Linked DNA regions of Notamacropus eugenii. The protein of the gene in region 1 interacts with the protein of each later gene in a biochemical or structural test. Links are inferred from orthologs where the notes say so. Each region holds a gene or a part of one and is shown in the gene's direction. Other genes may lie near its edges. The genes, in order: ARF6, ARFIP2, CYTH2 and CYTH1.

The links.
Region 2: the proteins of ARF6 (region 1) and ARFIP2 form a complex in vitro, tested with the Homo sapiens proteins (2 studies listed by BioGRID). The link is inferred for Notamacropus eugenii from reciprocal best matches to the Homo sapiens genes ARF6 and ARFIP2.
Region 3: the proteins of ARF6 (region 1) and CYTH2 form a complex in vitro, tested with the Homo sapiens proteins (3 studies listed by BioGRID and IntAct, with this or other methods). The link is inferred for Notamacropus eugenii from reciprocal best matches to the Homo sapiens genes ARF6 and CYTH2.
Region 4: the proteins of ARF6 (region 1) and CYTH1 form a complex in vitro, tested with the Homo sapiens proteins (2 studies listed by BioGRID and IntAct, with this or other methods). The link is inferred for Notamacropus eugenii from reciprocal best matches to the Homo sapiens genes ARF6 and CYTH1.

Annotation. Positions count from the first base shown.
Region 1 is NC_092872.1:332,282,636-332,289,505, forward strand, and holds the start of ARF6 (ADP-ribosylation factor 6), read left to right. Parts: upstream 1-3,847; 5' UTR 3,848-4,143; coding exon 4,144-4,671; 3' UTR 4,672-6,870. UniProt on the Homo sapiens protein: GTP-binding protein involved in protein trafficking that regulates endocytic recycling and cytoskeleton remodeling. GTP-bound form plays an important role in the transport of multiple palmitoylated proteins form the Golgi to the plasma membrane.
Region 2 is NC_092876.1:89,003,386-89,010,329, forward strand, and holds the start of ARFIP2 (arfaptin-2), read left to right. Parts: upstream 1-3,936; 5' UTR 3,937-4,185; intron 4,186-4,625; 5' UTR 4,626-4,627; coding exon 4,628-4,726; intron 4,727-5,199; coding exon 5,200-5,296; intron 5,297-5,421; coding exon 5,422-5,540; intron 5,541-5,772; coding exon 5,773-5,994; intron 5,995-6,086; coding exon 6,087-6,244; intron 6,245-6,361; coding exon 6,362-6,536; intron 6,537-6,630; coding exon 6,631-6,786; 3' UTR 6,787-6,944. Other genes in the region: TIMM10B (mitochondrial import inner membrane translocase subunit Tim10 B), read right to left, coding at 2,716-2,913, 3,040-3,135, 3,822-3,872. UniProt on the Homo sapiens protein: Plays a role in constitutive metalloproteinase (MMP) secretion from the trans Golgi network. May have important functions during vesicle biogenesis at certain cargo subdomains, which could be predominantly utilized by secreted MMPs, such as MMP7 and MMP2.
Region 3 is NC_092876.1:12,827,916-12,834,769, reverse strand, and holds the start of CYTH2 (cytohesin-2), read left to right. Parts: upstream 1-3,845; 5' UTR 3,846-3,978; coding exon 3,979-3,997; intron 3,998-4,394; coding exon of another isoform or gene 4,395-4,470; coding exon 4,471-4,618; intron 4,619-5,109; coding exon 5,110-5,176; coding exon of another isoform or gene 5,177-5,266; coding exon 5,267-5,385; intron 5,386-5,498; coding exon 5,499-5,579; intron 5,580-5,782; coding exon 5,783-5,895; intron 5,896-6,140; coding exon 6,141-6,289; intron 6,290-6,679; coding exon 6,680-6,854. Other genes in the region: KCNJ14 (ATP-sensitive inward rectifier potassium channel 14), read left to right, coding at 1-508. UniProt on the Homo sapiens protein: Acts as a guanine-nucleotide exchange factor (GEF). Promotes guanine-nucleotide exchange on ARF1, ARF3 and ARF6. Activates ARF factors through replacement of GDP with GTP.
Region 4 is NC_092873.1:320,236,763-320,244,319, reverse strand, and holds the start of CYTH1 (cytohesin-1), read left to right. Parts: upstream 1-4,555; 5' UTR 4,556-4,752; coding exon 4,753-4,780; intron 4,781-7,557. UniProt on the Homo sapiens protein: Promotes guanine-nucleotide exchange on ARF1, ARF5 and ARF6. Promotes the activation of ARF factors through replacement of GDP with GTP.

The DNA of each region.
Region 1 (6,870 bases):
CTTTACATGTATAGTACATACAAAATAAATAGAAGGTAATTTCAAGAAGGGAAGACACTGGCAACTGGGAGGATCAGGAAAACATTTCATTTAGGAGATGGTATTTGAGAAAAGCCTTGAAGGAAACCAGAAATTCTAAGAAGCAGAGCTAAAATGAGGTGAGGGCAAGTATGTTCAAAGCATGAAGGCAAGTACAAAGGTACAGACCTGAACGATGGAATGCTACAGTATATGTAAAGGAACAAGAAGGCCAGGTTAGTAGCATTGTAGGAAGCCTGTAAGGAAAACAATGCATAATAAGCACGGAAGGGTAGATCTCATAATTGATTGAAGGGTGCAGAGAAACTTTGTATTATATTTGTCTGCTGATTTTTTAAAAAATTGCTTTTTATCACCTTAAAGCCTCTCCTGCAACAAGATGTCTTCCATGCATGTTAGAAATTATATATGATTCCTTGGAAGATGTAAGAGAGAACTCTATTCAATGAACCTCTGCTTATTAATATCAAGATAGGGACTGGACATCTGAGATGATGAGATGTCTTCTATCAATGTAAGTTTGGCCTTTCTCTGCAAGTCTTAGAAAGTTACCTAGATGTTAAGTGATTTGCACAGGGTCACAGGCAGTATGCCCAGGGATGACATTTGAAACTAAGTCTTCCTGGCTCTGAGGCTAGCTCGCCCTCTATCCACTATGCCACTGTTGTTCAGTTGTGCAGTTGTGTCCAACTCTTCATGACCCCAAAGGCACATCCTTCTGTCCTCCATGGGTTTTTCTCAGAAACCACTCCAATGGAACTCCTTTCCTTAGAACTCTCCATTACAACCTGTCCTTCTTGGGTAACTCCATATGTCATTGCTCATAATGAAACTATATTATGTGGAATTACACAAGCACCTCTGCCAAAACAAGGAAGAGGTGATCCAGGAGGGCACCACTGTGCCATGTGGTCTCACTATTAATATCAAATGAAGCTTAAAACAGAGATATGTTCGTCAAAGGTGTTGGCACTGTCATGCAAGATTTCCAGAACTGAGTCCAGGTGGAAGATGGTGATCTTATAAATGGTGATGTTCCTTTCAGATAATGATAGCTGGCATTTATATAGCACTTTAAAATTTACATAGCAATTGTTATACGTGACCTCATTTGATCCTCACAACTCTGAGAGGCACATGATAAAATCTCAATTTACAGGTGAAGAAACTGAGGATGAGAGAGGTTGTAACTTGCCCTGTTTACATTCAAACTCATGTCTTCTTCACTCCAAGTCCAACATTCTATGCATTTTGGGTCACCTTGCAGATGTCATTGTTCTGATAAGACCTGCAACATTGTAGATGTAAAAAGGATCCATAATCACTCAAAAGAATTTGGTCTATTTATCAACATAGAAAAAAAATTAAGAATGCCTATTTTCTAAATGAAGTAGTAAGATGATCTATCACTATATGGACAAACAATGCAAAGAGGATAGGTGGGGAGAGGTAGAACTGAACAGGAATAAGAGCAAGCTAAGGAGACTGTTATTTTTATGATCCCTAACTTCTCCATATAACAAAACTCAATATTCTTTCAGTGATACTATATGGCCGTGATCATGAAATACCATATTTTCCAAAGCATCAAAATTATGGGTAACATCATTAAAAAAAGCATTATAAAAAAGCAGTGCAAAAGATCAAACATGATCCTTTATACTTCATTACACATCAAAGTGATGTCTAATAGCTAGCTAGTATTTATACACCAGGTGAGGATTTGCGAAGGGCTTCCCTCATGTTATCCCATTTGATCCTCAACTCAACTCAGTATAAAAACAGCCATTTCCAGATCCCAGGTCACAGATTCTCTAAGGCAGGATTTGAGTTCATGTCTTACTAGCTATACCACCTGGCTGCCATAAGGCATAAGAAAGTTGGCTGGTCATGTAGCAAGAGTGAAGGACAACAGAAGGTATTGGCAGATAGAAGGACAAGACCGTGTTCCCCACAGTTATTCACATGTTAAGAGCCAGCACATTGGATACAGGAGGCAGAGGCAAAGTCATACTGAGTGAGAAAGTGCAGGAGTGAGTTGTGATTGGTACGTGGAGGGAGAAGTCATATGGCTGATACCACAGATCCTGTGAATTACTGGCTTAAGAATTTTGTTCTCTTTCATAGAGCAATTTACTTCACCTTTTAATTTTGTACCTTCCTATGAAGAGCAACCTGCCATCTCTCCAACTACTCAACGGAACACCAAACCCAATTTTAAAAAACCATTCTTTTTTCACTAGTTCCTCTTTCTGCCATGGCTAAGTTCCCATTATTTTAGTTCTGATTTGTACTGGTATCACTAGCGTTCATGCACGTATTTTAACTCAGCTGATCTTCACAACCCTCGGAGGAGGTGGTGGTAGGAAGGCTGTGGAAACTGAGACTTGTCTGAGTGAAGTAAAGACAAATCTTTTTCCTCTGGTCGGTGCTTTTTCAATACTTTGTAGATACCATGATATAACTTCTTGGCATTTAATAAAAACTCCCTTGGAATAAAATGCAGGCTAAGCCTAGGAGCAGGAGAGGAGGACAGATCTGCGGCTGGAAGGTTCTACAGAGGAGGAAATCGGGCTCGGGAGGTCGGAGGCCAGGTCCGGACCGCTGGCAGACTTCGGCTTCACTCACGAGGTTCGGCTCAGTCCGGACTGACACGGACTCGTACATTTCAAAGGATCCTGCCCGGGGGCGGGAGCTTCCACTGCGGGACACCGTGAAGCACACGCACACGCACACAGGCAGCCACAGCACGGTTTTAAAACTGAAGGGAAACGAGGTTTTCTAAAGTTTCGGCAGCCGGGGAGGCGCACAGGGCACACCCAGGGCCGGCCTAGCCCAGCGCGGGGCGCGCCGACGGGCGCAGGAGCGGCCGCGTGGGCTTCTTCCGTACGTCTTCCTCTAGCGGCGCGGCGTGGCGCGGCGCAGGGCAAGGCGGGCGGCGAGGTCCGCGGGGGCGTGCGGCGCGGCGTGGCGGGAAGCGGGGGGCGGAGGGAGAAACTACGAAAACGGGGTCAGGCCGGGGCGAAGGCCAGGACGGAATGAGGGGAGCGTTTAGTAGGCGGGGGGCAGGCAGGCCCTGCACGCCGGAGGATTTTCCCGAGGATTCCCGGCCCTGGAAGTGGTGAAGCGGCCGGAACGAAAGAAATGGAAACTTAGGGGAAGAAGAAGAAGGAGAGAGGGCGGGAGAGCCACCTCCCAGCCTTCCTCTGGATTGGCCCGCCCCCTCCGTCACCCGCGGGAGCCCTTCGGGCCACCGTAGTCCGCGCCTCTCCTTTTCCCCGCGTGGCGCCGATGACGCGAGGCGCTGAGAGCACTCTTCTTACAGAGGTCCCTTTCTTCCGAACAGTCGGTTGCCCGCCGCTGCGCCTGCGTGGCTGAGAGGGGAAGTGAGGCGGTTTCCTCGGCGCCTTTTCCGGCTGTGGCTGGGGCTGAGCTGGGAGGAGGAAGAGGAGGCGGCGGCGGCAGCAGCGTCGGCCGGGGGACCCTGCATACAGGGCGGTGGCCGGAGGTAACTGCTTGGGCTGGGTGGGGAAGGAGGGTACTCAGGTCCTCCATTTCTTTCCCCGGAGTTCCGGCGGTAATCCCCTTCTCCCTTTCTTTCCTCTCTGTCTCCTTCCAGGTAGCTCACCGAGTCCCTCCGGGGATCAATGACCTGACGAGGAGCCGGAGCCGCCGCTGTCGCTCGGGTGGCGAGGGTCGGTGTTTCGGCGGGCGGGCGGGCCGGGGTCTCCGGCGGCTGCGGGGCCAGGAGAGACGGCAGGCAGCCCGAGGAGCGGGCCGAGCGGGAGCGGCGGCGGCGGCGCTCGGTGCCTGGGGGGGAAGGGCAGTTCCGGGCTGGGCCTCACCAGGGCGGCGGCTCCCCGCGGCGCAGCTTTTGGCCGGCGGCGGCGGCGGCTGGAGGAAGCCCGTCTTGGGGCCGGTGATGTCCCACTGAGCGGGGCCCCGGGACTCGGCCCCTAGGCGGCGGCGGCTCCCCCATTGCAGGCCGCAGGGCGTCCTCGCGGCTGGGCGGGACCGCTTCGGTTTCCTGGAGGCTGCGGCGGCGGCGGTGCCTAAGGGGACGCGGGACACCTGAATGCCCCCAGCCCCGGCTTCTCCGACGCGATGGGGAAGGTGCTGTCTAAGATCTTCGGGAACAAGGAAATGCGGATCCTGATGCTGGGGCTGGACGCCGCCGGCAAGACCACTATCTTGTACAAGTTGAAGCTGGGCCAGTCGGTGACGACCATCCCCACCGTGGGCTTCAACGTGGAGACGGTGACTTACAAAAACGTCAAGTTCAACGTGTGGGACGTGGGCGGCCAGGACAAGATCCGGCCGCTCTGGCGGCATTACTACACCGGGACCCAGGGGCTGATCTTCGTGGTGGACTGCGCCGACCGAGACCGCATCGACGAGGCCCGCCAGGAGCTGCACCGCATCATCAACGACCGGGAAATGCGGGACGCCATCATCCTCATCTTCGCCAACAAGCAGGACCTGCCTGATGCCATGAAACCCCACGAGATCCAGGAAAAACTGGGCCTGACCCGGATTCGGGACAGGAACTGGTATGTGCAGCCTTCCTGCGCCACCTCAGGGGATGGACTCTATGAGGGCCTCACATGGTTAACCTCTAACTACAAATCCTAATGAGCATTCACCGCCCATCACACCCCCCTCCCCAACTCCCCTCAGGAGAGAAATAAAAAAACATTCATAGGATTATCACCACCATCACCTCCAAAATGCCACTTTCTCTTCTTTTGAATATGGACTCTGGAGTTACTGTTTTACTGTTTGGGGGGGCTGGGGTTTGGGGGGTTTCTTTTGTTTGTTTTCTTTCTTTCTTTCTTTTTTTTTTTTGCTTTGCTTTAGGACGCTCTAGTCTGACATTTGACATGAACACAAAGTACTAGGTGCTCTTGTTGACTTCCAGCAAATGGGGTGGGGGAAAATATAGCAGCTCTTGAGATGGTCCTTTATAATAATGGTTTGATTTTTTTATTTTGAGGGAATCTTTTTTTTCAATGTATGTCTCCCCCCTTTTACCCAGTTACCTTATCACTTGCTGTAGATGGCTTATTTTGCATTCATGCAGACGATGTTGCAAGTCTGTTTCATCTAGTAAACTGAAAATTATTGCTTAATCAAACTGCAGTCTGTCTTTTATATTTAAGGACTCTTTTTTTTTAAAGAGTTCTAACTTTAGTAATTTCAGGTGTGTCTTTTCATATCTAAAACTAGAATGGTAAAACCTTGCCTGCAGTGGCAAACAAGTGATACCATTGTAATAACTTGCAAGTGCAAATCCGTAATGTTAAGCAGGTAATGTAAGAAGTGCTTTGAAATGTTAGCTATTAAGTTCTGAAACATACATCTTGCATGACTAGGGATAAGACCAAATTTGCTGTACCACATAGCTAGCTGTTTCCTGAATGAAAATGTGAAAGTTTGAACAGGCCATAGATCTCGTATTGAAAAGTTAGCAGTTGTGTTGAATTTTCTCTCGTTGCTTTTTTGTTCACTTCCGATAGTAGTGTAAGAATTATTCAGGCAATAGAGCAATAATGGTACACACCACTTTGATAGCTGAAACATTTTGTTACATTTTGACAAAACATGCTTTTTTTTAGTTGGCAGATAAGATAGCAAAAACCAGACAGTGAGTTTTGATAATTACTAGTCTGTTTATTGTGGTCAGTTCTGAAATATTTTTAAAAATTCAAATTATCAATCTTTTTTCCAAACTGCAAAAGCAAACATTCCAGTTTCCCTATCGCAGAAGCTGATTAAGTTGAAGAAATAAGTAATTTTTTTAGAGTTTACAAATGACCTATATCTTAATTATCAGTGAAAAAGATGGATTATTTTTTAAAGTTTGACTTAATTTTGTGAGAATGTAGATTTAATTCATGGAGGTGGTAATCAGATACTTTATTAGTTCACATTTATTTAAATTTAGAAGGAAAGGAAAATTGATAGATGACTAGATAAAATCCACTGATAAGAAATGCCAAGTAAATAGTGGAAAATATGTAGGTAATGATCCTACATATGACGATGAATGTAAATTTATAAGTCTTGTGAAAGATAACCAGTTTGTCCGTTTGTCAGCTACTGTCAGTATAACTAGATTACATTGTTAACCAGATAGTTGAGAGTACTTTGAATCAAATGTTAATAACTTGATATAGAATTGTGCAGCAGAAGCTGGTTCTTAGCCTCAAATATTAATTTTTAGAGATCATTAAAAAGTTAAAATTTGGAATTTAAAGAATGTATACTATAAAATCAGAAATGAGGTGGTGTGTGTCTGTATGTTTGTGTGTGCACTTGGGGTTTATGAAAAATCCGCAAAAGTTTGAATGAGACATCATACTACAGTTGTGCAGTATTAATCCTGCATGTTTTTTGACCATAAAATGTATGATGGTGCTTTTTACCAAAGATATGAGGGGGCTTAAGGTTATAGAAAATTCACTTCTTGACATGAAACAACTTGGACAAATATTTTACTTAATAGACTAATAGATAATAAACTGTTTCTATAGAATTTATATGGAATAGGAATTAAAATTTCTGCTGTAACTTAGCAGTTTAACTTCATTCAGGGGCAAGGCCTACTGAAAATTAGGTTGAAGAAATAAAACATTTTGGGTACCCTTACAAAAGATTTCTAAGGCTCCATCATAAATTTAATTCATAGTCTTTTGAACGATTCTAATTTTTAAGGTACATAAAATGTTTGTAAAATGATATTCAAATATCAGAATGTACTAGTAACATCTGGAATAAGATAAGCACAGAAAATTCCCAAACTGGAAGAAAGTTGAAGCCCTCATGCTAATA
Region 2 (6,944 bases), on another chromosome or scaffold:
ATTTCCAAATAAAACTAAAGTTTTTAAGTATCTGCATTTTGATTTTAAAAATAAAAATAGAAAATACAATTTTTTTCCTGAATGTCCTAAAGCTTCATTACCTTTTAGTCAATGTTCTTATTCTGACTTCTCTTGGCATATTTCATATCCATAATTTCTCATATTCTTACTTGGGAGGCAGTATGGCCTGGTGGAATCAACCTCTGAGTCAAAAGACCCAAGTTCAAGACTTGCCTCTGACATATACTGCCAGTATGATTCTGGGCAAGTATGTCACTTAACAGTGACACTAAGTGGCACTAAAACTGTAAGTTACAGAGCAGGTACTCATGTTCACTGGTAGAGGAACTTTCTACAATCAAGAATTCTCCCCACCAATGAAATCCCAGGTCCACTATCCTATTATTTATACTATTGATGGTACCACAACATACCATTGATAGATCATCAATAAGAGATATGGAGATAGTGACTGAACTTGTGATTTCACTGATAGAGGGAACTCCCTCCACCTATACTGGTACCTCCTCTGCAACTTAATGTCTTAGACAACTGCCCAGGCACTGAAAAGTTTGGTAACTTGTTCAGGGTTCTCCAGCTAATATATTTCAGAGGCAGGGCTTCCTAACAGAGGCCAGCTCTCTTTGTACTATGCCATGGTACTTTCTATCTTTAAATCATAATTTATGCAGTCATTCCCAAATGAGTTGTTCCTCATTTTTCAAACAGCATATATCTCACACTTTTATCACAGCCCTGTGAGGCAGGGTAGTACAAGTATTATTATCTAATTTTAAAGATTATGGTGTGAAAGGTTTGGTGAGACTTAACAACTGGTCACACAGTTAAGGATGGGAGTCCAACCCCAAGTCTGAGGGTACGATAAAAAATACCAAGGGACAAAGGGCTGTATTTAAGATATCAACTGAAGAAAACAGAGTTTTTTGGTCATATTTATATTGAGTCTTGAAGAGTGGGTAAGGACATTCCTAGTATAGGAGAGAGTATGTGCAGTCTTAGAGCCAGGAAAACCTAAGGCACACCAACAGCAAAGCAAGTCATCCCGTATTTCTGTGGTATAGGTTTAAGAGGAACAATGAAGATGAGACTAAGAAGGTAGGTTGGGGACAAATCATGGAGGGCTTTGAATACCAGGTTGTTTGGACTGTAATCAGTGAACAATGGGGAGCCATGAAATATTTTCAAACAAGGTCAGTTTGACAATAGCAGACTTATTATTTGGTAAGATTATTTTGCTAGTTATAGGGATTGATAGTGACTGAACTTGTGATTGATTGCTAATGCAAGATGAGATGTAGAAAGATCAGTCAGGAGACTGCTATAACAGACTAGGTGAAAGGTGATGAGTAACAACTAGAGTTAGTGTCAGAACTAGAGATTGGGTGGTTGCAAGAGATACTTATAAATAAGACAGACAAGTCATGAAAACTGATTGGTTTGGGCATGGGAAGGGAAAAACCAGTAAAAGAAGACTCAAGAGGTAAACCTCAGTATCTAGAAGACAATGGTGACAACTTTAGAAACAGAGAAATTTTAAGTAGGTCTGGGGAAACCACTAAGTTTAGTTTTGGCAATGTTCACTTTTAGGTGAGAGAGTATAAATGGGGAGAAGGGGATAGGAGTGGAGATTATCCAGTGCTGCAGAGGTCAAAGAGGAAGGAGAAGAGACTAACTAGATTTGGTTATAAAACAGTTATTTATGACCATAGGAAAAATGTTTCAGTATAGTGCTGGGATAGAAGAGATTTCAGGGCTTCAAAGAACGTGTTGAGAAAGTGGGTGAGAAAGTGGAATACTGACAAAGTTTAGTACAGACTACTCTTCCTAGGACTTTGATAGTGAAGACAGAGAACAAAAGCTGAAGAGGGTAGCAGAGTCCAGGGTAAGTTTTTGGTTTTTTTAGGATAAGAAGATTGAGGGTCAAAGAAACAAGGGAGAAAATGTTTGTATGGGAAGAAAGACAGAGAAGAGGGATGAGAGTTGAATCAAGGTCTTAGAAGAGAAGTCAGGGAATACAATTTAAGATACAGATAGGGATTTGGCAAGGAAATTAGCCACTAAGAAACAAAAGATGCCTAAAGAAGTTTCTCTGACAGCCTGAGACTTCCTAAATCCTATAGCCAATACTTTGAGACAGCATCTTTCTCTTCATCTCAAACTCCTGTCCAGGAGAGGGACAAGAAAAGTCTCAACCAATCCATACCCTGCTTCCCCTAAAGCAAGCACACACAAGCATGGACACTTATAAGGACTTTACTACTGACAGGCAGGGTCAGATAAGGGGGAAAGGTACAATTAGGGATGTTTTGCCATCTCCGGGTTTCAGTGACAGGGATCAGAAGGGTTGCCATGAACTAATAATTCCTTTTCTTGTATTCCAATCCTTCTGAGGATCCAGGCAATCTTCTCTTTCTGTTCAGTCATCTCTGGTTCTAGCCCTTTGTACTATTTCCTTTGGAATTTGGAGGATATCCTGGTCTACTCTCCCTCTGCCTGGACACCACTTGTGGGAGATGATGGGCCCCTGGTGTGATGACATAAGGGTATTTGGTAAGCAACAACTGAGGTGGAACTGACACAGGATAGCCCCAGAAAGCCCCCTAAATTGCCCATGTCACACTATACGCTTTCCAGATATCAGAAAGTCCCATATTTGAGCATTCCATTCCAAGGTGGTAGGTGAACAGGAATCCCTTAGCTTCCTGGGCCTAGAGCCCCATGCTGGCCAGTCACGGGGCTTGATGGAGATCCAGTTGTCTCTGCCAGTGCTGCAGTGGCCTCATAGTCTGCCATGCGCTGCTGTACCAGGGCAGGCATCAGCTGTACATAGGCGGCCATTAGGCGGTGATTGGAGTAGACCAGCTTTCCTGCACAGCTGTCCAGGCAAGCCTCCTAGAAAGGAGGGAGAAGGGTGGTGTCAGTCTCCCTCCTCCCCAAGTTTACTTCCAGTTACAGTTTCTTTCCTCAGTCCAGAGGAGCACTTTCCACCTCCCTACAGAGAACATCTCTTACACACACCTCTTCTGCATCCAGGGCTCGATGGTGCAAGCTGGGCACACAGCGTTGGAAGCAGAGTTCCGTCATCCGGTTATACACCAACAAAAAGTCCCGAAGCTGGGGGCAAAGGGGAGAGGAGAAGAGGAGTGATGAGGTCCCGGGGAAGACACCTTCTACAGAAAAGGCTTATACAATTAGTACTAGAAGTGACCGTAAATATTCTGTCCTTAACTCCCAGCCTTTTATAGATAAGGAAAACAGGATGGGGTGGGGGGGAGAGAAGAGTGACCTGCCTGAGGTTAAAGCGTGAATCAATCAGAGAACCAAAACAAGAGCCACCAAACCCAGAGCTCTTTTCAAAGCACAGATCAGGATTAGTCGGAGGAAGGGGCCAGAGGCTGCACACGCAGACAAGCAGACACACGAGCGTGGGAACAGCGGGAATCGGGGGGTGGGGCTGGGAGACGCCCCCGAAGGCACTCCCTTCCCCAGCCAGCCTCAGACGTGAAAGGGAGTCCCGAGCACTCAGGGTCCCTGCCCTTGAAGCATTCTCCCGAGGCATTCCCTTGCCCGTCCCGGGCCATACAGGCCTCTCCATCTCAACGTCAGACCGCGCCTCCAGCCCCCGATCCTGGCACTAAGGATGCACCAAAGAGCGCATGCTCCACAATCGGCCGCACAGCCTGCCCTCTCTTAACACACCGGGTTTCCCTCTCCCTTTGTCCCAGACCAGGCTCCGGCGGCCCATGGGGTAGGAGCGAGGGACCCGCCGAGCCGAAGAGAACCTTCACAGCCCGACTCACGTTTCTCAGCTGCTGCTGCTGCTGCTGCTGGTGCTGCTGCTGTGACTCCATGGCCCCACAGGGCGCAGGCCCCTTACGTCACTTCCGCAACCGCGCACACCTTGCCCCCGCCTACGGCGCTAGGCGGCGTGGCCCGGCTCGTGGTGTCACTTCCGCCCTGGCGGTGGGCAACGCGGCTGCCTTCATTTGCCCGGCAGAGAACGTCATTTCCGCCGTGTCCCTGACCTGCTGCGAGGAGCGCGAAGGGAACCGGAGCCCGAGGTCCCAGGACGGCCCCGGGCCCGGCGCCCCGAGGGCAGGGCAGGGACAGGCGAGGCTGCCGGGAGAGAGGAAAGGAAGTCAAGGGAGCGTGGCCCAGCCAGAGGTGAGGAAGCTGGGCGACACCTACCTGAGCCCTGGGGGGGGAGGAGGAAGACCCACACCTGAGTCAATGGGGGGGAAGGAGCGCTTAGCTGCGTCCACCTGAGCTCGGTGAAGAGGGTCACCCACCCGAGCCCTAGGGACAGGGGGAAGGAGAAGGGACCCGGCTGAGCTGAGGGCTTAAGAGGGGAGGAGGGGCACCCAGCCAAAGCCAGGGTTTAAGGGGGGAGGAGGGGCACCCACCTGAGCCCAGGAAGGAGGAGGGGCGCCCACCTGAGACAAGTGGGGGGAAGAGGGGCATCCAACTCGGCCAAGGGGAGAGGACGAACACCTACCCACGTCCAGGGCAGAATTCTCCTGAAGGATGAATGCACCTGGGTCCGTGGGAAGTACAATATGTTTACTGAGGATAGATGCCCTTATTCGAACTTTTGCCTCCCCCAGCCATGACTGACGGGATCCTGGGGAAAGCGGCCACCATGGAGATCCCCATCCACGGCAATGGCGAGGCTGGACGGCTTCCTGAAGATGATGGGCTGGAGCAGGTGGGGGTCTGTTTGCTCCGAGCTCCCCAGTGTACTCATATCCCTGGTGCCAGTAACTTGTCCTGACCTCCTTACTTAAGAACTCTTAATCTTCTGTCCATTCTCTGACTTACTCTGTTCCATTAATACCCTTACTACTCTTAAATTCCCTGGTGCCCCATACCATGCCTTGACCTCGCTAAGCCTCACGTTCATGATCATGCCATCTCTGGGTGCCCCATCTATTCTAATACTCCTTTAAATACCCAAACTCCCATCCTATCTTCTAATCTCTCTTGTACTTGCACCTCTAACTATACCTTAGCCTTACCAAATCTTGGACCTCCCAATCCCCCTACTTTCTGTCACCCTACTCCAAACTAGGTTACCTTCCTACACCTTGAATTCTCTGAACTTCTCCTGTGAGTCCTCCATTCCTCATCTCTGTGTCTCTACCTAATTGTCCCTCTTCACTCCCACTTGACCCCTCATAGGACCTGCAGCAGGTGATGGTATCTGGACCAAATCTCAATGAGACGAGCATTGTGTCAGGAGGCTATGGGGGCTCGGCTGATGGTCTTATCCCCACAGGTATGAGGTAGAGGACTTGGGGAATTATTGGGGTTGAAAACCTGAGAAATTGTTGGTTAAAGGAAGAAAAGAGGGGATAGAGACAGAAATGGTTATCATGCAGATCACAGAATTTTATCCTTTAGGGCCTGGCCGTCAGCAGCCCCACAGTGCAACCCCTGCTGGCCCTGGTGACGAAGTGGCCCGGGGCATTGCTGGGGAGAAGTTTGACATTGTCAAGAAGTGGGGCATCAACACCTACAAGGTGGGGCTTGTGTCCCCTCAGCCCCCTGTCCCGTGGGTTCCCCCAGATCCTATCTCCTGTTAATGCCCTACCTCTTCCCCGGTCCCTGGATCCCATCCCATCCCTTCCTTCACCCCTGCCCTTGCTCCTCCAGGGGCTCATAGTCACAAACTTGGGAGGGGGGCAGGTATTTCCATATTCTGGGGGGCTCTTGTCTCCGGGAGGGCCCTCTGACTGCCTGGGGCCTGCTCAGTGTACAAAGCAGCTGCTGTCCGAACGGTTTGGCCGAGGATCACGCACCGTGGACCTAGAGTTGGAGCTGCAGATTGAGCTGCTACGGGACACAAAGCGCAAGTATGAGAGTATTCTTCAGCTGGGCCGGGCACTCACTGCTCACCTCTATAGCCTGCTGCAGACTCAGCATGCCCTGGGTGATGCCTTCGCTGACCTCAGCCAGAAGTCCCCCGAGCTCCAGGTGTGTGCACCTACCTCCCTTCCACTTTGAGGGCAACAGGGGACCAGGGGCAAGGCATGACCTCTGGGCCCCTATGTTCATTCAACCCACAGGAGGAATTTGGTTATAATGCAGAGACACAGAAGTTGCTGTGTAAGAATGGGGAGACTCTGTTGGGGGCTGTCAATTTCTTTGTGTCCAGCATCAACACCCTGGTCACCAAAACCATGGAGGACACTCTTATGACTGTCAAGCAATATGAGGCTGCCAGGTAGGAATGTACAAGCCATAAAATTGGAGTGGGGAGTGAGTACGGGGCTCAAGGTCAGGACGCCTTAGGCCTTACTCCCCAAGTTTTATTCATACATGACTCTTTCTGTTCCCCTAGACTGGAATATGATGCATACCGCACAGACTTAGAGGAACTGAGCTTGGGTCCACGGGATGCCGGGACTCTGGGCCGACTTGAAAGTGCCCAGGCCACATTCCAGACACATCGTGAGAAGTATGAGAAACTTCGTGGGGACGTGGCTATCAAGCTCAAATTTCTGGAGGAGAACAAGGTGCTAAACTGTCCCCCTCACCCCTACCCCCTAACTCCTCTCAATGTTTTTCTCTTCCCACCTCCTCCCAACTGACCCCCATCCATGCCCCCAGATCAAGGTGATGCACAAACAGCTGCTGCTTTTCCACAATGCCGTGTCCGCTTACTTCGCTGGGAACCAGCAGCAACTTGAGCAGACCCTGCAGCAGTTCAACATCAAGCTTCGGCCCCCAGGCTCTGAGAAACCCTCTTGGCTGGAGGAGCAGTGAGATGGCCTGGCCTGGCCCTCCACTCCCAAGAAGCACTCCTGGCTACAGGAGCAGTGAGGCCTGCCCCCTTGGATTGGCCCCTGTCCCCAAGAAGCCCTCCTAGGTGGAGGATCAGTGGACCTCCTCCCTAGGAGGGGCTGAGGGGAGCAGGAATAAGT
Region 3 (6,854 bases), on another chromosome or scaffold:
GCCCATCACCATTGTCCATGAGATCGATGCTTCCAGCCCCCTGTACGAGATGGGCCGGGCTGAGCTGGCCAGGGCGGACTTTGAGCTGGTGGTCATCCTGGAGGGCATGGTGGAAGCCACAGCCATGACCACCCAATGCCGCTCGTCCTATCTGCCAGGGGAACTCCTGTGGGGCCACCGTTTTGAGCCTGTGCTCTTCCAGAGAGGGGCCCACTATGAGGTGGACTATCGTCACTTTCACCGAACCTACGAGGTGCCAGGGACCCCCATTTGCAGTGCTCGGGAGCTGGAGGAGCGTCGGGCCCTGGGGGACAGTGACAGCCCTGGGCCCAAGGGTGGCCTACCCGGCACCCTGGCTGCCTTCTGCTACGAAAATGAGGTGGCCCTCAGCTGCTGCCAGGAGGAAGATGAGGTGGAGGAAGAGAGGGGTGAAGCCCAGGTGGAGGGCAGCTCTGGAGCTCCCACCCCACCCCCACCTCCATCCCCTGAATTGGCCCCACCTCCTTGAAGGGCTGGGGGACTGCAATTCCCAGTATCATGGACCTTGGCTGCCTCAGTGGTGCATCATGTTACACCCCTCCCCAGGAGTTGTGGGAGTTGTAGTCCTAGGTTGGGGAGCAGCTGGAATCTAGGCCCAGGGACTCCCCTACAGCCCTAGAGCCCCTTCCTTCTGTGGGGCATGGGCTAGGATGGAAGGGGAGGCAATGCATGCTTCCTGAACCCTGGACCTTAGGAATGGGGGAGGTGGTTTATGGGTGGAACCTTCTGGATGAGTTGAATCCATAGCCCCTCTTCACCAGTTTCCCAACAAGGGGGAATGAAGGTCCCCCTCCCTTCTACCCCTATGGACACCCTCACGTGACTCCTCCCAAGTCCTTTCCTTCTGGGCTTAATCCTGCCTGGAGTCCAAGAGGTAGGGGGTGGCCAGGGTTGTTCTAGACCCCTCACCCTCAAGAAAAGACTGGGACCCAGGATACCCATTGGTCCAGGCCCCTGTTTTGGGAGAGGACAAGCCATGGAGGGTCCCAGGTCCTGGGGCCATGAGGAGCCTGGCCTGGCCTCCAGGCTAAGAAGCATCCTGGATGCTCTGGGCCACCCAAGTAGCCAATGTCTTTCTCCAGAATGCCGTGCATATTAACTATCTACACATTTATATATATACATATATACTCTCCATAATTTTTCCTGATTTTGCTGCAGAAGGGGTGGGCAAGAGTGGCCTTGGTCTCAGGAAGGAGGTCATTCTGGGCAAGCAGGAGACCTCAGACTGGAATCCAGCCCCTTTCCCTCTGTTTCTCCTGTTAACCAGAGCGGGTTGGAATGTGTTTCCTTCAGCTTTGCCAGCTGGGGAGCCTATGACCTCCGCACCCTGGGAGGTGGCATCGCTCACTAGCCTCACTGGAGACTTTACTGGAAGGCCCTAGAACAAAGCAGGTGGTGTTCCTGTTAGGACCTGGCACGGCCTCTGGACACTGGGAAAGCTGCAGCATGAGTCACCCCAGACTGAGCCCTGGGCTGGGCTGCCCTGCCTTGCCCCTGCCTAGGCTCTGGGGCAAGTGAGGAGGAGACTGAAGGACCCTGGGGTCCTTTCCACCATTGCCTGGGGGTGGAGGGAACCGGCTTGCCCTTGCCCCCAGAATAAAGAATTGTGAAGCCATCTGTGTGTGTGTGTGTGTATGTGTGTCTGGGTGAGAGGGGTGAGGGGTGGCTGCCACCCACAGTCCTGGCCCTTGGCCCAATGCCTCATTTTCATGAGTGTGCCTAGGGAGAGGTGCCAGCTTGCAGTGGGGGCTTGAGTCAGGGGAAAGAGTGGAGGCACCCAGGATCCCATCTGGGCCCTCCATCCTCCCCCCTCCAACCCCACCCCTCACAACCTGGACCTTGGGCTCCCTCCTGCTTCCTGGAGCCCATGCTTGGGTTCAGGGTCTTTCCCCAGGGTCCCAGCTCTCCCATATCCCACCGTACTCCAGAGACCTCATGGCCCTTTTTGCCCAGTCCCCCATCCTCCAGAGGCCCCATCCCTCTTTCCCCAGCCTCCTAAGGTCTCTTTCATCCCTCTGAAGCCCTGTCTTCCCCCTTCACCCCACCCCCCTCCTATGGCCTTTATCCATCAGTAACCCTGATAAGGACCGGAAGGAATTAATTAGCCAGGCCGCTGCAGGATTGTAGGGGGAGAGAAGGTGAGACCTGAGGCCTCAAAGGGTGGGGGGAGTGCTGAGGATGCCCAGGTGGGATCAGGAGGTAGCCTAGGGAGAAGGGCATGGCAGAAGACCTAGGACCCCTTCTTGGATACCAGGAAGAATATGGGAGCTTCAGACTTCCTGAAGGTCAGAACAGGGACAGGGAGGGGATTAAGAGGCAGAAACTTTTTCCATGGCTAATCCCTGGGGGAAGCTGGTCACCTGGAGGTGAGGAAGGGAGCCACAGCAGGGTCATCACCTCCTTTTTCCCTCCTGTTTCTTCACCAAGAAAAGAGCCCTACCTAACTGTGCACTCAGAGAACCTGGGCCTCAGTTACCTCATCTGTAAAACAAATGGATTGGATTAGAGGTCAAAGATTCGCTCCCACTAGAGATGTGGTGCGTGGACCCTGAAAAGGGGAGGGGTGCACAAAGGCAGAGTTAGATTTGCAAGGGGCCAGAGGTCATCTGGGCCAACTCCATCATTTCGGAGATGGGAAAAGAGACCCAAAGGTGATTTGGTCAAGGTTCCCCCAGGCAGGAAGTAGCAATTTGGAAATGCAATCCCTACTAGGAACTATGTGGGGGAACAGGGGAAAGGACAGGAGCCCGAGAGGAGGCAGGAGGAAACAGACAGAGTGTGAGAACTGAGGTGAAGGGAGAGGGACACCTCCAGAGGAAGACGCAGTCTGCATGGAGAGGGAGGAGATGAGGAGGGGAAGGAGTCTGGATAGAAAAGGAGTCAAGGGAGATGAGGAGAAGGTGGAGGAGAAGGGGAGAAGTCTAGATAGAGGGGGAGGAGTCAAGGGAGATGGGGAGGAGCCTGGATAGAGAGGGAGGAGTCAAGAGAGATGGGGAGGAGTCTGGCTAGAGAGGGAGGAGTCAAGGGGAGATGGGGAGGAGTCTGGCTAGAGAGGGAGGAGTCTGGATAGAGAGGGAGGAGTCTGGATAGAGAGGGAGGAGTCAAGGGAGGGCCCAGAGTGAGGCTAGGAGTCTGAGAAGAGTCTGGGCAGAGGAGAGGAGTTTGAGAATGATGGGATCTGAAGAAATGATGAGAAGTTAGAGGGAAAGGGGTGGAGCCAGAGAAAAGGGGAGGAGCCAGAGGAGAGGGCAGGAGTCTAAGAAGGGGAGGAGTCCATGGGAGAAGGGAAAAGGATTTGGTAGAAGCACAGGGTGGGTTCCCTTAGAAACACCGCCCTCTTCCACAGCCTTCAGCTGTTGCTAAGCAACGGAACTTTTTTTCTTTCTGGATCCCAGCTCTGTTGCCGCCCCTTAGCAACGCACCGGCTTGGAGAAAGGCTACCTCCCCCCGTCTATCTCTCGGCCTTCTCACGCAGGCGCAGACACTCTTGCCCATCTCAAGCCGAAGCCTTCCCTAGTCTGCTCCCTGTCACTTTTTCAGGGGTTGATACTCCCGATTCTATGCGCACCGCCCTCCTGAGCCGGGCCCCAACCGTCATTGGGTCCAGCTTGAGGGGCGGGGCCCTGAGCCCCTTCCACGGAGTTCCATTGGCTCGCTCGGTCACCCTCCCCTTGTCCACCGAGGCAACGCGGCCGCCTCACGCCCCGCCTCCGCCGGGCTTCATTGGCCCAGGTAACCTGCCCCTCGACGCCCATTGGGCCCACGGAAGCCAAGCTCAGGTTCCCATTGGTCGGGGGGCGGCCCCAAACGAGAGCGGAGGCGGTGGCGGCGGCGGCCCCGGGAGCGGCCGAAGGGGCTGAGCATAGCCCCAAGGACCTGCGGAGAACCGGTGGCCCGAGCCACGCTACGGGCCCGCGCCGGGCTGCCCTGGTCACCATGGAGGACGGAGTCTATGGTGAGGCGAGCGCGGAGCGAGCTCCGGAGGGCTGGGGGGCTGGGAGGCGACGGGACGTTCCATTCCATTGTTCGGGACGATACCATTTCCGGCCGGCGCAGGGGGGCGTGGTCGAAACCATTCCCTGGGCGAGTCCATTTCCTGCCTATGGGATGTACTATCCCAGGCGCACATGGGGGGGGCTCCCTTGGATCGGGAGACACCATTTTTCTTGGAAGGGGGAATCATCCCAGGAAAGAATGAAGGCGAGGGTGGAGTTTGGGGGGGCAGTTGAGTGGAGATAAGGGGGAAGAATCCAAGGCTTCTCTCCCCCAACCCCGCTCCCAAACTTAGTCCTAGTGTTGTCCGTGCTCTCTGCCTCAGTTTCCCCGGGAGACCTTTGCGCACCTTTCCCCAGACATGTCCCCGCACGCGGTCACGCGCGGACGCACCACCCCTGCGGCCAGCCCTCACCCCCCCCCCGTGTCCCCCAGTACCCCCAGACCTGACCCCCGAGGAGCGCCTGGAGCTGGAGAGCATCCGGCGGCGCAAGCAGGAGCTGCTGGTGGAGATCCAGCGGCTCCGCGATGAGCTCAGCGAGGCCATGAGCGAGGTGGAGGGGCTGGAAGCCAACGAGGGCAGGTGGGCAGCGTGGCGGCTGGTGCCCAGGACACGCTTGTTGGTGCAGCTGCGGAGCTGGCTGCCCTGGGCCACCCTTCGGTGTCAGAGAAGGGGTTGGGGGGCCCTGGGACCCAGCCCCAGCCGGGAGCCCCGAGACCCCAGGGGACCCCAGCGGGAGCCCCGAGACCCCAGAGGACCCCAGCTGGGAGCTCCGAGACCCTAGCCAGGAGCCCCGACACCCCAGGAGACCCCAGCCGGGAGCCTGAGACCCCAGGGAACCCCAGCTGGGAGCCCCGGGAGCCCCAAGACCCCAGCGGGAGCCCTGAGACCCCAGTCAGCCCTGAGACCCCAGGGGACCCCAGCCGGGAGCCCCAAGACCCCAGCCAGGAGCCCCAAGACCCTAGGGGACACCAGGAAACCCCAGCTGGGAGCCCCGAGACCCCAGCCCCAGCTGGGTGTGGGTAGGTGGAAGGTTCCCTAGCTACTCACAGCTCCCCTTCCCACCCTTGCAGTAAGACCCTGCAGAGGAACCGCAAGATGGCCATGGGGAGAAAGAAGTTCAACATGGACCCCAAGAAGGTGCCAGGGCTGAGGGCAGAGTTATCTGGGAGTGTTGGGGGGCCATCAGACCCCACCTCACTCCCACCCTCTCTCCTAATCCCTCCGCAGGGAATCCAGTTCCTGGTGGAAAATGAGCTGCTGCAGAACACGCCTGAGGAGATCTCCCGCTTCCTGTACAAGGGTGAAGGCCTCAACAAGACGGCCATCGGAGACTACCTGGGGGAGCGGTGAGGGCGCAGGAGTGGGCACAGGGCAGACATAGGCATGAGGCAGGAGTGGGCATGGGGCAGGAGTGGGCATGGGGTGGGCAGCTCACAGTGTGCCCTTTGTCTCCCCCCAGGGAGGAACTGAACCTGGCTGTCCTCCATGCCTTTGTGGATCTGCATGAGTTCACGGACCTCAACCTGGTTCAGGCACTGAGGTGACTGCAAGCCCCCCCTACTTAAGGAAAACAGCCAAGACCAGAGCCCACCTCTGTAGGACCCTGGACAGGCAGTGTGTCCACTCCCAACCTGTGACCAGGGGGGCCCTCTCCTTGCTGCCCCTCTGCCTCTCAGGCTCCCATAGCAAGGGATGGGAGTCCTTTCCCTGCTGCCCCTCCTCACTGCCTTCCATCCCCCTCAGACAGTTCCTATGGAGCTTCCGCCTCCCTGGGGAGGCCCAGAAGATTGACCGCATGATGGAGGCTTTCGCCCAGCGCTACTGCCTGTGCAACCCGGGAGTCTTCCAGTCCACAGGTGGGCCTGACCCAGGGCACTCAGAACATTACCACAGTATCCACTGTTTGCTGGCACATTTTGGGGATGCAGAGAAAGGCAGATGGGATGGGGTGGGGTGGTGGGGCTGAGGGCAGGGCAGGAGTAGGCCATGGGAATTTTTCAGGGAGGCCGATTTAGGGACTTCCCTGCAATCCCAGAATTCCCAGAGAGGAAGGTGGTGAGCTCCCCTTTCCCCTCTCCTTCTGCCCCTCCTCTGAGTGCAGACACCTGTTACGTGCTCTCCTTTGCGGTGATCATGCTCAACACCAGCCTGCACAACCCCAATGTGAGAGACAAGCCGGGTGTCGAGCGGTTCATCACCATGAACCGGGGCATCAACGACGGCGGTGATCTTCCCGAGGAGCTGCTCAGGGTGAGGCTGCCACCTGCCCCTATCAGCACCAGCCTGTGCCCACAAATGTTGGGCTAGGGCCCTCTCTGCCATCATCGTGGGCTGGTTGGCTTCTCCTGCCACCTCCCCCCACAACACCTAGCCTGTGCCCATAAATGCTGGGCCAGGGCCCTGTCTGCCATCGCTGTGGGCCGGCCGGCATCTCCTGCCACCATTCCACCCCTGCCAGCCTGAGCCTGCAAGCACTGGGCCTTCTCTGCTGTGGCTCTTGCTGCTGCCTGGCTGGGCTCTCCTTCCCTCCCTGCCTGGGTCCCTGCAGCCTCTATCCTCCTCCCTCCTGTGAGCTGCCCCTCTCTCCCAGACATCTCTCAGCTTGAGGTCCTCATGCACCCTCCCTTCTCTTCCTCTCAGAACTTGTACGACAGCATCCGCAACGAGCCTTTCAAGATCCCCGAGGATGATGGCAATGACCTGACCCACACCTTCTTCAACCCTGACCGGGAGGGCTGGCTCCTCAAACTGGGTACGGCGCCCGGGGTGGAGCACTGGGGAAAGGGCCGGGCGGGCCGGCCGGGAGGGGGCTGGG
Region 4 (7,557 bases), on another chromosome or scaffold:
GGCATCAATTATTTCTGATGAGAATCTGGATTCTAAGATATTTAGAGAATTAGCACAAATATGTAGGAACACGCACCATTCCCCAGTAGATAATGCTTAAAGGATACAAACAGTTCCTCAGAATAATTACAGATTATTAACAAACATATGAAAGATTGCTCCAAAACATCAATAATACAAATGCAAATAAGAACAACTCTGAGGTTTTACCTTATATCTAGCAAATTGACAAAGGTGATAGAAAATGAGAATAGTCAGTGTGGGAGGGACTGGAAAGACAAACACTTTAATGCACCATTAATGGAATTGTGAATTGGCTCAACCATTCTGGACCACAATTGTTAATTATGCAAAAAGAATGACTAAACTGTCCATACACATTGACCCTGAGATCCCACTATACTTTTGTCCTATATACATAAAAATATTCAGAGCAGCACTATTTAATGACAAACAACAAGAAACAAAGTAGTCATTTTTTGATCAGGGAGTAGCTAAACAAGTTGTGGTAAGTGGGTGTAATTAAATGTTACTTATATGTTAAGAAAAGATGTATATGAAAAAAATGGAAAAGCATGGGGGAAACTTGTATAAGCTGATGCGTGTGTATTCTTTCTTCGTTGCCGAAGAAGACCAAATGCAGAGAGAAGAAAACAGAACCAAGAAAAGGATATGTATATTATGACAATAACAATATATGCTGAATAAACAGAAAAAGAAACAGTGTTGGTCTAAACCAGAGTTGGTCCTGGAAAAGAGTTGATAAGAAGGGACTATAAGTATAGAATATTGCATATGTTGTCAGACGTAGTGGATATGTTAATTAGTTTTTGCTGAACTACTTTTTCCCCCTTTAAAAACACATTTGTTATAAAGGAGGGCTTATTGGGTAGGACAGGGATGCAATATTGAGAAATGATTGTGACTTAAAAACAAAAGTTATCAACAAAAATAACAATTTTTTTTTACAAAGATAAGTTTCTGATTCAGTTTCCTAAATGAAATTCCAGCCAACTTTTGTTTCTTTTATTTAATTCTGGAACCATCTCATTGTCTCTCTACATTTTTTCTTCACAATAAATATAATGAGGGACTAACTCAATGAGTTATATATCCAATTCCATATGATAGTCTGGGCACAAAGCATTTTTCATCTACTTGGATTTTCTTCTGTGGTTTGTTAGGCTAAACTCTTTTGAATGAGTTATGGATCTTATTAGTGAGGCTTTGTAGTGCTCTGTGGCTTTATTTTATCAGTACAGTGTCATCCACAAACAAGAACAGCTGAAGACCTCATCACTTATTGTGAATTTTTTCTTCTATTTGAACATATGGATATCCTCTATGACTCTGGTGAGTATTTTTAGCAAGCATATCTCTTCAGCTTTATTTCTTGCCTGACATTAATAATCAGACATTATTGGACAGAGTTGTCTGTTTTTGCTTCTGTCAAGGAATCTTAGCATGTATATAAGATGAAACTTGTTGGGGGAGAAACTTAAAACTTTGGGAGACCCAGAGGGCAATAGAAAAAAAAATATGTGCATAATTTGATGTCAGCATATTACCAAAATTGACGAGTGCATAAGAAGTGGCATAAAAATCATCCAGGAAATATATGGTCAGAAAGGAGCAGTAGATAAGATATTGAGAACTGGACTGGTATCCTTTGTAATGTTACTAGGAAGGCTTCTACTAGATTCTGTGAGTAAAATCCACCCATATCATCAGAGGAGAATACCTGCATTTAAGAGGATATAGATTCACTGAAATATTAAAGTATAACTCCTAGAACCAGACTTATAGCTGGAAGAGAACTTAGGGCCATTTGCAACCTATCTGTGAAGCATACATTCTCTTGACAAAATTCTCAGTTGTAAATACCTCACCTCAGAGGTCTAGTAGATAGAAAGCCAGCTTGGGAGTCAGGAAGACAGGGGTTCAAAGACCTTACTCTGACCCATGCTGTGTTACCATGGGCAAGTCACTTTACCTCTCAGTGCCTGAGATCACTCTCTAAGACTATGAAATTGTAAACAAGTTGCTGATCTACATTGGTGGAGGAGTTCTCAGATGTACAATATATGTAAATATATTATATATATGTATGCTTCATAAACATTCTATTAGATCAACTTTTATCAAGCATTTAGGATATGCAAAAGATTATGCTGGGGATATGAAGATACCAGTGACACAGATTCTCTTCTCAAGGTACTTAAGATGTTATATGGGGACTAGGGTGATATCAGTAATGGAGATGTAAGAATGTGAAAAGTACAAAGGAATTTTTCAGGCAAAGTGATATGAAAAATTTGGAATCAATTGGATAGAGTTAGGGAAGTCTTCATCAAGGAGAAAGTACATGAATTGTAGCTTGAAGGGAAGGATGTATTTCAGCCTATGGAGATTAACTGGGGGGAGTAAGGGATCAGTAGAAGTCCATTTTGACCACAGGAGGTGGTACAAACAAAATCACCAAGATAAATTAATCAGGAATTTATTAATCAGCTCTTGTGTGCTAATCACTGTGCTAGGCACTAGAAGTACAAAGACAAACAGTCCCTGCCCACAAAGAACTTAACATTTAATTGGGGGAATCAGCATGTATGCATTTAAGGATATGTAAAATACTGTCAAGGTAATTTTTTGAGAGCAGGGGAAAGAGCAGCAGTTGGACTGGATTAGGAAAGGCTTTATATAGGGAGTGGTGTTTGAGCTAAACCATGAAGAAAGCCAGGGATTTCAGGAGGCAGAGGAGAGGAGGTAGTAGTGCCAGCATGCATATAGGAGTTGGAATGTCATGTGTGCAGAACAGCAAGGTCTATTTGGCAGGACCACAGAGCATGTGAAGGGGAACAGTGTTACAATAAGACTGGAAAGGAAGCTGGAATCAGGCCATCAAGGGCTTCAAATGCAAATAAAGGCATCTATATTTGATACCACAGTCGAGTCAGCAAACGTTTATTAAATGCCTCCTATGTGCCAGGCACTAAACCTAGAGGCATTAGAGAGCCACTGGAATTTACAGAATGGAGAGTGACATTGCCAAACTCACATCATATAAATATCACTATTGGCAGCTACATGGAGGATAGATAGGGAAAAGGATAAATCTGAATAAAACAGGAAGACTAATCAGGAAACCAAAGCAATAATTAAGAAAAAAAAAAGATAATGTTGGAAGGAAGAGAATGGGAAATCAATCCTTGTATGGCTGAGGGAGGCAGAATAGATATCTCTAGCCTCTTTCATCCCCACCCTTCTCCATAGGAGACTTTCATTCCTGGTATGAGGGGACGTAGGAAGTTGGGGCCAGAGGTCACTACTCTGCTCTCCTTAGAGAAGATGGAAGAAGTTCAGGTTGCTAAAGGAAAAGACTCTGGGAAGACATGAAAGGAGGAGGTAGTCCCTATTCCCAGCTTGCTACTCTAGAGACTTCAGGGAGTATTCCCTTTGGGTGAGATCCATAACCTTCTCTTAGTTGAACTGACTTACCCCCAATGAAAGTGAGAGAGTTCTGGCCCAGAAATATATCTATGTGCTTCCTTAAATAATGTTCATCTAAGAGATAGGTTCTATCTAACTTTTGATCGCTTTATCATTTCTGGAAGGAGGGGGACCCCAAACTTTGTATCCAAGACTTGACTACTTTTCCACTTAATACTAGTTCCACAATGAATACACGTAACAAATAAACCTATTTATCCAAATCGTGGCAAACAGAAATCAGAGAAGGTCTACATATAAGAATATATACCAGGCAGTACAGAATGAAAGAACTCTCTTATTGAGATCTCCCCCAAGGGGAATACTCCCCTGAATCTCTAGAGTAGTAACTCTAGAGTAGTAACCCACTTCACGGGATTGGACTCTTTCATCTTATTTCTCAAAGATGGAAGTCAGGAGCACCCAAAGGATGAATCCCTGAAGGTGGACTGGTAAAAGTCTTTGATGTCTTGCCAACACTGTCACGCCCCTTGAAAAAGATTGGGTTTTCATCTCCATCAATATGAGAGTCACATTGGACTTGATAGGGGTTGTACAAGAAAAAAGTTGCTGAGTAGGTACATTAGAAAAAGTGGCTTGATGATTAAGGAAGAACTCATCATGTTTGGCATTTTGCTTTAGATTTGTGTTTTGCGTGTTCATACCATCCATTTATTGAGCTTACTATATATGCAAGGTTTTGAACTTTAATTGGCTTGTAAAATCTTACCTATTTGACCTGTGATGTCATGAACTCTGACTAGTCATCCTCTTTTGAACTAAACTATAATCTAATTATGAGAAGACAGGGCTTTTTCCTGTTGTAATCTAAGAATTGGGGCTAAAGGATAAGAGAGCAGGCAATTCTAGTGGTTAAATCTGATTTGCTTGTGTTTGTGAAGAGAGTTGAACTGCTCTAACAATTTGTCACCCTGTTAGACAAACTCTAGGTGCTAAAAGAGTTAACTTTCTTTATAGGAAGGTACTTCAGCTTGACAGGAACTAGGTGGTGGTGATTCAACAGGGAATGACACTCCTTTTCTGGCTGTTTACTGATTGGCTCTGTGTATTTGTAGCTTTCAGTTCAGGAAGCAGCTCTGAGCTGTCTTAGTGGCTAGACAGATTTACAGGTATTTCTGGCCCACAAAATCTTACTTAGTTTGGAAAGCTTTCTCTTTGGTTACATTTTTTTTTTTACCAGAAGAAATCAATTGAGAGGAATAAACTTGACTGAGACCTTCATATTTTATCCAATTGGACAAAATGGTACTTAAAACAGAGGAAGAGGAAGGTGAGTTCAATATCATACTCAAAACTTAACTTCTATTATAGGACGGAAAATTTCTGTATGTATGTTGACTAATAATGTGAAGCTTGAAGACAGAATTACTAGGCCTTTTGCCTTTTTTGGGTGGGGTTGAGAATTAACCAGGCTACGGTTTCTTCTTACTGCAGGGTTTCCACGTGAAAGGAAAAAATATAGTATAGGGTTTGTTTCATTTATCTTCACCTCCTCTTTTAGAAAAAGGGTAAATTAGTTGTCCCTGTTAGCTGTTCCTTTTTCACAAGTGTATTATTACAAATCAAATGATTTTCTTTGAAGTTAAACTCTCAGTGCTCATACTACTTAATTAAGGGGATTAACTTTTTCTCAGAACCTTCAACTCCTTTTTCTAAATTGGCACTTGGTCAGAAATTATAGAGGTTATGAAGCTGGGCTGGATTAGTTTTTTGACCAAGGTCAAGAAAGTATTTATCAATCATAATGTTTTTGACATTAACAAGTTGGGATCCGGATATTCTGTGTTAGGACTAAAAATCACTGATATTTTTATTCATTAAACATGATGAAAAAAGTACCTAGTATTTTGGCCTTCTTTCTTCTTTTTACAAAATTACTTTCAGATTATTTTGAAGCCTGATAGGTAGATGTGATAGGATTACTTTTTCCACCCTCACAGTAAATAGTGAAATTATAAGTAATATAAAGATATTCCTGTAATTTTTGGATTCCAGTAGATTTTCTATGAAAAGTGTGTCTGAGAGACAGTGTGTTTAAAGTTATGTTTTGTTTTTATTAAAATGATGTTCATGGAACTTTGAGTAGGTAGTAGAGTTTTGATATTATAATTTATCTTTAAATTACAATCAAAATTAATTTACACTGGCTTGTGTGAAACAATATGTTTTATTTTGGGAGGAAGACTACATCTAACCTTATAGTCATATAGTGAAGTTTTGCAATTAGAGATGGAGGCTGTAATAAAAATGCCTTTCCTTTTTATGTTGTTCCATATCCAGGATAAGGTAAAGAAAACGTATGTTCTTGACCTGTGAATGGCAAACTCATTTGTTTTTTGGCTCATTCATTTAAAAAAATTTATCAAGAATACACTTTGTGCTAGGAACTGGGGAGGTACAAAACTTTGATTAGACGTTATGCCCATCCTTAAAGTTTATAGTTTAGTAGGGGGAATAAGACAAATTCAGATAACTAATACACAGTATTATATGGGTACATTAAATAGTTGCTGAACAAAATATTATATGAAGGGGAAGACTGTTACTGACAAGGGATCAGGGAAAGCTTCATGGACAAGTGACGTTTGAGTTGGGGTTTAATGAACATATAGGAATTTGAGAAGTAGGTGGAAACAGAAAGACATTTCAAGCAAAGGAAACAATGTGATCAGAGACACAGAGGCGTGATTGGAGGACTGAGTCTGCTTTGACTGAGCTATCAAGTACATGGAGGGGAATAACATGAAATAAGTCTGGAAAAGTAAGGTGACCCTTTTGAGGGTCATGAATGTTAGCCAAGAAGTTTCAATTTAACTTTATAGGCAGTTGAGAGTTTAGATTTTTAAAAATAAATTAAATATTTATTAACCAGGATGTGACATGGCCAGATCTAAGTACTTGGTATATAACAGTAACAGTATGAAACAGAAACAGTGTAGTAACAGTATGAAAAGGGATGCAGGAGGACCTGTGGTGGCTATTGTTAACAGCCCAAGTATATGGGTGTAATGGCTACTTCTGCTGCTGCTATTGCTACTTCTACTATTATTATTGCTACTACTATCATCCCTACAACCTCATGTACTTTGCCTAATTTGATAAAGCCATTTTTCCTTTTTTCTTTTCTTCTTTCTTTTTTTACAAGACACTACATCCAGGGATGGTATTAACATAAGGATAGGTCCTGTGATTTCATTACTGTATTTCATTACTTTTTGTGCAGTTCTGGGGTTGAAGAAGTTACTTACTAAGTTTCTTAATGGATTACTTGATCATTATTTAGGCTGTTGAAAACTTCACAGTTTTGCTGGAGTAGGTATGTGGAAGTTGATTGGTCTGCCTCCCATTCAAGTAGCTATCTCAGTTGAAATTGAAACTCCTCCACTCACTCTTTTCTAGACATTTTACAATCTACATTTAGACATCATCACTAAACTGAAATTGCACTTTCCAAAGACCTCACTGATTTTATACGCCAAATTAATTGCCTTTTCTCAGTCTTCATTCTTCTTGATCTCTCTGTACATTTGACACTATTGACCACCCTCTTCTCCTGACTGCTCCTCTCTGGGTTTTCATGAAATTGCTCTTTTTTTAGTTCTTTTCTTATTTACTTAATCCTTTTTTTCTGTATCCTTAGCTGGATTTATTCCCCAAAATATCGTGCCTAGACAACCTCAGAGGTCTTCTCCAACTATATTATTCTTGAGGTGTAGGAGTTTATTTTAAAGGTAGAGCATGTAAGGACCAGGCAAGTTAAATGACTTGTCCATGGCCACATAGCTCCTAAGTAAATGAAGTGGGGTTTTAATCCTGATTGCAACTGTCTTTAAATACAGTGCTTTTTTCATTGTAGCATGAGATGCTGCCTCTTATTATTCCTGCTTAGGTAGTATAGTGGGAATAGAGAGGAAGAGTTGAATGTGATAGCTGGTATGGAGGCAGAACTGATAACTGGATTTGGGTGATCAGTGTCAAAGATAATCTCACATTTTTGAATATGATGGAGAAGGTGAGAAAGATGGTGTTGCAGGAAATAGTTAAGCT